Linked DNA regions of Macaca mulatta. The protein of the gene in region 1 interacts with the protein of each later gene in a biochemical or structural test. Links are inferred from orthologs where the notes say so. Each region holds a gene or a part of one and is shown in the gene's direction. Other genes may lie near its edges. The genes, in order: FOXA2 and HOXA5.

The links.
Region 2: the proteins of FOXA2 (region 1) and HOXA5 form a complex in vitro, tested with the Homo sapiens proteins (2 studies listed by BioGRID). The link is inferred for Macaca mulatta from reciprocal best matches to the Homo sapiens genes FOXA2 and HOXA5.

Annotation. Positions count from the first base shown.
Region 1 is NC_133415.1:61,460,938-61,465,269, forward strand, and holds the start of FOXA2 (hepatocyte nuclear factor 3-beta), read left to right. Parts: upstream 1-1,509; 5' UTR 1,510-1,973; coding exon 1,974-2,060; intron 2,061-2,882; exon of another isoform or gene 2,883-3,092; intron 3,093-3,098; coding exon 3,099-4,332. UniProt on the Homo sapiens protein: Transcription factor that is involved in embryonic development, establishment of tissue-specific gene expression and regulation of gene expression in differentiated tissues.
Region 2 is NC_133408.1:101,202,377-101,206,614, forward strand, and holds the start of HOXA5 (homeobox protein Hox-A5), read left to right. Parts: upstream 1-1,340; 5' UTR 1,341-3,038; coding exon 3,039-3,933; intron 3,934-4,238. Other genes in the region: HOXA6 (homeobox protein Hox-A6), read left to right, coding at 1,081-1,340. UniProt on the Homo sapiens protein: Sequence-specific transcription factor which is part of a developmental regulatory system that provides cells with specific positional identities on the anterior-posterior axis. Also binds to its own promoter.

The DNA of each region.
Region 1 (4,332 bases):
TCTGGGGACCGATGGGCACGGCTTCCGCGGAGATGCAGACCTTGAATTTGGGGGAGAATCCTGGCTCAGCGGGCTTATTAATGTCCTCATTATGAATTGTCCAAACTATCTGCATTTCAGCAGCAAAGGGTGCTGCTGGCGGCTTCCTCCTGTGGCCCAAACCCTGCGGACCTGAGAGTCCTCGGGTTGGGGAGGTGGTTCCCCTGTGCCTACTGCTCCCTGCTCTCTTGCCTTCCAGCCTCACCCTTACTCAAGCTTCAATGCGAAGCTCCGTGTCTGCCATCTCGTCTGTCTTCTGCCACCATCGCCCCCAATTTTGGACAGGTGGGCTGGATGCCCACTATTTCCTATGCGTTCTCTGTGTCTGAGGGTGTGGGTACAGGGCTGGATCCCCAAGGCCCAGCCAGTTTTTCAGAACCAAGAAAGAACCTCCACATCCAAACACCTGCAATATCCCCCCACTTCAAATCTGGGCTCACAGGCTAACCCAGAACAGAAGACAATTTTTGAACCCAAGAGCTGCAGGGGAAATAAAAGTATACGATTTCTGGAGTTTCCAATTTTTATAAAGCAGTCCGTCTGGAAGACAGAGAGGACAGGACCCTCTTGAAGTCAACTCCATATGCCCCATCATTGATTCCTGGATTCTTCCCTCCTTACCCCTCCCTCCCCACCTCCTGCCCTGTTTGTTTTAGTTACGAAATGCTGTGGGCACCTCGGTTGTGACTGAAAAGTAACCTTGAAACACGCCGGCCTGAATATCAGAGACCTATCTCAGCCTCCCAACCGTCGGCCGCTGCTGGAGGGGCTGCTTGCACCAGGCGCCGGCCGCCCCACTGCGGGTCGCTGGCTGCCGGGCTCTGAGGAGGCCGAGAGCCCAGGCGGCCGGACCGTGCGCCCGGCGCGTCTCCCGAGGCCGTTCCGGGTCTGAACTCTAACAAGGAGGGGCCTCGCAGGAGCAGCGGTGGGCGAGTTAAAGGTGTGTACACAGTTTTTCTAAATAGGACAGCACTTTGCAAATTGGCTGTCATGGGCTTGCTGTTTTGACAGAGAATGAGCACTGAGAGCGAAGAAACCCGGCATAAATAAATCCGGCTTTCATAGGGATCTGCGGGGCACTGAGGCCGGACTCGCGCTCCGACAGGCGCACCGGGCGCCAAGGCGCGATGGAACCCGGCGGGGGCCTGAGGCCAGAGCCGCCCCCGAGGGTGGTCTCCTCCCAGGTCCCTCCTTCCTCAGGGGACTCGCCGTAGACCCGGGAGGAAAGGGGGCTCGACCAGGGATCCCGTGTGCCCGATCGCCCGCCCGGCCCGCTCCCCTGGCCCGCCCAGGAGTGCGGGGCACCGCGGCGGTGGGGCGGGCGGCAGGCGCTGAGGGGCAGGTGCGGAGCGCCGGCTGCGGCTCCCTCTCACCTAGGTGTGAGCTGATTATTCAAATGGGCTGCCCCGGGTCTGGGGATTGGAGGCCCGCGCCAGCGCGCCGCGCTATATCACCAGCCGCCCACGTCACTGCGGCACTTGTCGGCTCCGCGGTCCACACCTCCTCCTCCTCCTCCTCCTCCTCCTACACCACCACCACCACCTCCTCCTCCTCCTTCCTCCTCCTCCTCCTCCCCACCCCACCCCCCCCAACCAGCCCCCGCGCCGCGCGCTTCCCGCCGCCTCGGGGCAGCTCTGCACTGCCAACCTCAGCCGCCACCCGGCAGCCCGTGAGCGCGGCGGCGGCGGCGGGCGCTCCCTGCCGCGGGGCGCTGGCCGGGGCCTCCTCCGCTCCTCGCCCCCCCCCCACTCCCGCCCACTTCCAACTACCGCCTCCGGCCGGCCCTGGGAGAGAGAGGGAGTGGAGCCCAGGGAGAGGGAGAGCGAGAGAGGGAGGGAGGAGGGGACGGTGCCTTGGCTGACTTTTTTTAAAAGAGGGTGGGGGTGGGGGGTGATTACTGGTCGTTTGTTGTGGCTGTTAAATTTTAAACTGCCATGCACTCGGCTTCCAGTATGCTGGGAGCGGTGAAGATGGAAGGGCACGAGCCGTCCGACTGGAGCAGCTACTATGCCGAGCCCGAGGTAAGCGCTCGTCTTTTCCAGGGGGAAGTGGAGCGGCGGCGCTCGCTCCTTCCCCAACCTCAGGACCGCTTCCCTCGCTGACACCCCCCCACCCCCGCCCCACAACCCCAGCCTTTCTGGGCAGCCGCCTTTTCCGCCCTCCTTGGAATCAAATGGGTCTCTTTTTTATACGACACACTGTTAGCCTTGAGATAATATTAACTTTGTGATCAAATATTGACTTGCGGCGCCTCCAAATCCTCTTCGTGGCCGAGCCACGCACTATCCTAACAGAGTTATGTTTGGCAGCGCGCGGCTGGGGAGGGGTGGGAGGTCGACCGGCGAGGGGGTGGGGAGCTGAGGAGGAGAAGATGGGTAGGAGTTGGGGGCTGAAGTGGAGGCAGAGTCAAAGACTAGTGGACAAAGAGAAAGAAAGTTTGTGCCTGCAAAGCTCAGCCGCGTGTAGTTTAGGTCTCGGTTCCTTCCCTATTGCCCCATTCAGTGCCTCCGGCAGCCCCCGCACTCCGCACAGGCGCTGCCTTTCGGATTCCCTGGAACAAGGGAGGGGGTCCCGGGAGGGAGACCGGACAGAGGGGATCAGGGACAGTCTTCACTGGAGGCAGCCTGAGGCGCCCCGCGAGGTGTCCCGCAGGTTGTTTGCTGCGACCGAAGGTGGCGTCCGGGGACTTCGGGCCTCGGCGCCAGCTCAGTATGCTGGTAGGAGAGTTTGGGGAGACTCTGGGGCAGGGAAATACATTTGGGGTTCTGGTTTGGGAATACTCCATGGGACCCCTGTTCTAGAATCTGGGCGAGGTGGAGAAGGGCTAGGAACGGGCCACATACCCAAGCAGCAATCCTCTCTCCTCCTTCCCAAGGGTGATCGATCATGGCTCTCCCTGGATGAAACAGACAAGGAGTCCGGAAACTGGGCCACAAGGGAGGAAAGGGCTCCCCGGAGGCCTCCTCGGAGGCGGAGGCCTGGGCGGTGGGTGGGAGATCTGGGCACCCTCGAGCCGCGGTGCTAACGCTGTCGCCTCCCTCCCGGGGCTCTGTCCGCAGGGCTACTCCTCCGTGAGCAACATGAACGCCGGCCTGGGGATGAACGGCATGAACACGTACATGAGCATGTCGGCGGCCGCCATGGGCAGCGGCTCGGGCAACATGAGCGCGGGCTCCATGAACATGTCGTCGTACGTCGGCACAGGCATGAGCCCGTCCCTGGCGGGCATGTCCCCCGGCGCGGGCGCCATGGCGGGCATGGGCGCCTCGGCCGGGGCGGCCGGCGTGGCGGGCATGGGGCCGCACTTGAGTCCCAGCCTGAGCCCGCTCGGGGGGCAGGCGGCCGGGGCCATGGGCGGCCTGGCCCCCTACGCCAACATGAACTCCATGAGCCCCATGTACGGGCAGGCGGGCCTGAGCCGCGCGCGCGACCCCAAGACCTACCGGCGCAGCTACACGCACGCAAAGCCTCCCTACTCGTACATCTCGCTCATCACCATGGCCATCCAGCAGAGCCCCAACAAGATGCTGACACTGAGCGAGATCTACCAGTGGATCATGGACCTCTTCCCCTTCTACCGGCAGAACCAGCAGCGCTGGCAGAACTCCATTCGCCACTCGCTCTCCTTCAACGACTGCTTCCTGAAGGTGCCCCGCTCTCCGGACAAGCCCGGCAAGGGCTCCTTCTGGACCCTGCACCCTGACTCGGGCAACATGTTCGAGAACGGCTGCTACCTGCGCCGCCAGAAGCGCTTCAAGTGCGAGAAGCAGCTGGCGCTGAAGGAGGCCGCAGGTGCCGCGGGCAGCGGCAAGAAGGCGGCCGCCGGGGCCCAGGCCTCGCAGGCTCAACTCGGGGAGGCCGCCGGGCCGGCCTCCGAGACTCCGGCTGGCACCGAGTCGCCTCACTCGAGCGCCTCCCCGTGCCAGGAGCACAAGCGAGGGGGCCTGGGAGAGATGAAGGGGACGCCTGCTGCAGCACTGAGCCCCCCAGAGCCGGCGCCCTCTCCCGGGCAGCAGCAGCAGGCCGCGGCCCACCTGCTGGGCCCGCCCCACCACCCAGGCCTGCCACCTGAGGCCCACCTGAAGCCGGAGCACCACTACGCCTTCAACCACCCGTTCTCCATCAACAACCTCATGTCCTCGGAGCAGCAGCACCACCACAGCCACCACCACCACCAACCCCACAAAATGGACCTCAAGGCCTACGAACAGGTGATGCACTACCCCGGCTACGGTTCCCCCATGCCTGGCAGCTTGGCCATGGGCCCGGTCACGAACAAAACGGGCCTGGACG
Region 2 (4,238 bases), on another chromosome or scaffold:
GCCTGAAGAGAGAGAGAGAGGCTGGTGGGGACCCATGCACCCTGGGTACCCTGCTCAGCTTCCCAAGCCAGTGGGCCTTTTGCACTGGTCACTGATAAATACCCTTTGCTTCCCAACCCCCTCTCCTTTCTGCCCTTCAGAAACCCGTACAGAGAGAGGTGGCCATTTGGCCTCTTCTAGTGTCTCCCCAAAGCCTTGGAGGGCCACAGCCCCAGACTCAGGATTTTTTTTTCTCTCTCTTCCCTCACCTCCTCCCCCTTCCACTCAACTGCTCACTCTTAGCCAACTTCTGCCTTCTTCTGAGCCCATGCCTGAGTTCATACACCTGTCTTGGAGGGATCCCCACCACCCTTGGGGATCTTTGGCACAGATCAGACAGCCCAACACAATCCTACATTGCTAGAAATCCTAGACTAACTATAGCTCCATCTCTTAGCCTCTGGTTTCCAAAGACTCCACAGGGAATCCCAAAGACTCCTAGGAATTCCCTAGGACAGAGCCTAATGCGGATTGTTAAAATTATAATGTTTTGCGTTAAAATCCACTTTATCCTTGGGTGAGTTCTGCGTTTCTCAGAAGGGTCATATAATATGGGAGAATGTGTAAAGATTCAAGAGGGCTGACCATTTTTAACTCTTCAAAAAATGTGTTGAGTTCTGACATGGCTGGTCACAGTAGCATCCTCAGAGAGACCACTATGAATTCAGAGTGTGTACACTACTTACATGGTTCCACACCTCCCCCCCGCCCCACACACACACCCTGCATCCCCACAAAAACACGACCTGGCCGTCCCAAATTAAGAATGCCCATTCTGTTATTTTGATTGTAATGATTTTCCTATGAGGCAGATTTTTCAAAAACAATAATGTCCACCCCAAGTCGTTATAGGTGGAAAACATCTCGCTTGGTATGAAATAATCTCCCATTCAGTATGCTTTGGGCCCCAGACATAGTGGGAGAGGCTGGAGTGGAGGCGGGGTGGTTTTCAGTTCGTATGCCCCTTGTGGGAGGCACTGGGCTGACTGGGTCAACCATCCAGGTCCTGGCTTACCGGCGCCCGGCTGTTTCTGCTCGCAGGTGCTGTGTACGGGAGCCATGGGCGCCGAGGCCGCCAGACCTACACGCGCTACCAGACACTGGAGCTGGAGAAGGAGTTCCACTTCAACCGCTACCTGACACGGCGCCGCCGCATCGAGATCGCCAACGCGCTCTGCCTCACTGAGCGCCAGATCAAGATCTGGTTCCAGAACCGCCGCATGAAGTGGAAAAAGGAAAACAAGCTCATCAATTCCACGCAGCCCAGCGGGGAGGACTCAGAGGCAAAGGCGGACGAGTAGACGCCTGGGCAGGGACCAGGCCAGCGCTGCAACCTCCTTCGGCTTTGCCCCCTTGCCCTCGCCTGCTCCCCAACTTTTCTCCCCGCCTGCTCCCATCGGGGGCTTCCGCAACTTCAGGGGAGCCGGGAGCTTTGCAAGCGTCTGTGCATTTATTTCTTAAAAAACAAAACAAAACAAAACCTCACACACAGCCAATACCAGCGGTGGAGCGGGGCGCATTGCACACACCCAGTCCCGCTCCACAAGGCTGCCCAAACCGGCTCCCGAGTTCTGGGGTGCGCCCTGAAAGCGTCCGGGGCTGCTGTGCTAGTGCCTCTGAGCTCCCCGACCTCGGAACGCCGAGCTGCTAGGGAGGAAAGAGCCCTGGGCCGAGCCCCGTTTCGCGTCTGGGAGTCTGTGCCTAGGTCCCTCGCCAGTAGGTCCCGAAGGGCATCATCAAATTATCTCTGACCAGTTGAAAGAGGGGTTCTAAGTGCTGGAGCCCGGCCTTGTCGCGGCCTCCCAAGCGGCCTCCCAGAACAGGAAGCTCAAGGAACAAAGGGGGCCCCAACAGAGCCCAGTCTCTCGGTCCCGCGTGTGCAACCGTCAGTGGAAAAGAAGCAGCCTCAGCCGAGGCAACCTAACCTGGGCGCGGGTGGAACATTACAGCCCGGGGAGCCCCTGGGATCCCTCAGGCCCCCGGCTCCGGATTCCCGCTCCCTGCCTCCGATAGCGCCCGCGTCGCCGCCACAGCAGCGTTCAGGACCCAACGAGGGGCCCAGGGCCATGGAAGCCGCCAGAGTCCTGGCTTCCAGACGTGCCAGGGGCGCCTGCAACGCGGGGCCTCCAGCGGGGAGACTCCACTTGCCTCTCAGCTATATTTGTGATTTACTTGAGTCTTTCGGAGCCGTGGAAATTAACTACAGAGATACTACGCACTGCCACGATATGCTTCCATTATCGCCCTCATTTTACTCCTGGAGGTCTAAGCAAGACCCCAGTAACCGGCCCCACGGATCCCCAGACCCCAAGCAGCCTCTGTGGCTGCAGGGAGCCTGGGCCCACTCGCTGGGTTCAAGGAGAACCCTCCAACTGGGGGTCCGGCTGGCTCGAGGAACCGGACCCTGTGATGAAGATTTTCCAGGCTGGATACGTAAGCAAATCAAATAGCAAACTAATGACACGAAAACCATATTCACACGAAAGAAAAATCGACTACGGTTATAAAAGTGTATGGAATTTGACCTCGCCTTGCAGAAACACTACACAAAAGCTATCTTTAATAGACGCCTGTCATTTAAGAGCGGCAGGGACACTGTCCCTCATGCGCTCGCAAAAACAGAGCCGTAATTGTAGCTGCTGCTGCTGCGGGCAGGATTTATTTATCCAGTTGGCTAAATGGCTTTCCCCCTTCCCCGAAGGTGATATCTGTATTTTCAAAATTCAGAGCTGCTGGCAGGACGGGCAGAACCGACCCCAACCTCGACACAAAAATAAGAGGGGCTGCAAAACGGGGGAAATAAAGTTGTTGTAAATAAAATGCAAGTCACCACCTTCCCCCAATCCTCTGCATCCTCGCCGGGCGCGCGATCGGCAGCTGACGGCCTAACAATTGGTACATCCTAATGGAACTGCGAGGGAAATGCAATAATTTTGCCATAATGGGCTGTAACCTCAATTCGACCCCGGCCCTTGCAGCCCCCGGTCGGAAACTGGGCGATGCGCCCTGCCTCCAGCGGGTGGCGCTCGAGTCCGACTGAACCGCAGCAACTGGCGGCGGGCACGCGCCCGAGGCGCGCGCGCCACCCCTCTCGCCTCCACCCAACTCCCCCATTAGTGCACGAGTTTACCTCTAGAGGTCATCAGGCAGGATTTACGACTGGACAACAAAAGCACGTGATTCGAAGTCGTACCCCATATTTGGGTGCCTACGTAGGAGGGAACCAAGTACATGTCCCAGTCATTTCCATAATTCATCATAAATTGTGCAAGGGTGCTATAGACGCACAAACGACCGCGAGCCACAAATCAAGCACACATATCAAAAAACAAATGAGCTCTTATTTTGTAAACTCATTTTGCGGTCGCTATCCAAATGGCCCGGACTACCAGTTGCATAATTATGGAGATCATAGTTCCGTGAGCGAGCAATTCAGGGACTCGGCGAGCATGCACTCCGGCAGGTACGGCTACGGCTACAATGGCATGGATCTCAGCGTCGGCCGCTCGGGCTCCGGCCACTTTGGCTCCGGAGAGCGCGCCCGCAGCTACGCGGCCAGCGCCAGCGCGGCGCCCGCCGAGCCCAGGTACAGCCAGCCGGCCACGTCCACGCACTCGCCTCCGCCCGACCCGCTGCCCTGCTCCGCCGTGGCCCCCTCGCCCGGCAGCGACAGCCACCACGGCGGGAAAAACTCCCTGAGCAACTCCAGCGGCGCCTCGGCCAACGCCGGCAGCACCCACATCAGCAGCAGAGAGGGGGTTGGCACGGCGTCCGGAGCCGAGGAGGACGCCCCTGCCAGCAGCGAGCAGGCGAGTGCGCAGAGCGAGCCGAGCCCGGCGCCGCCCGCCCAACCCCAGATCTACCCCTGGATGCGCAAGCTGCACATAAGTCATGGTAAAGCCAGCCTTTTTCTAAATCCACGCGACCGCGGGGACGCGGCTCTCGGTCCCCCCTCTCTCCTCTGCCGCCCTCTCCCAGTCTCTCTCCTGGTCTCATTTCTCCCAGCCCTGCGGAGCCTCTCCTTGCCGTTCTCCCTCCTCTGCCTTCCTCCTTCCTCCTCTTCTTTGCAAGCACCCCGCGCTCACAAATAGTGGGGGAAATAGGCGTTCGCTGGGCCAGTTTAGACGTTGAAAGGGGCAGGAAGCAAAAAACCCCTCTGGAACCCCACGCCTTGGAACGCGCTCCCGGGTCAGGCCAGC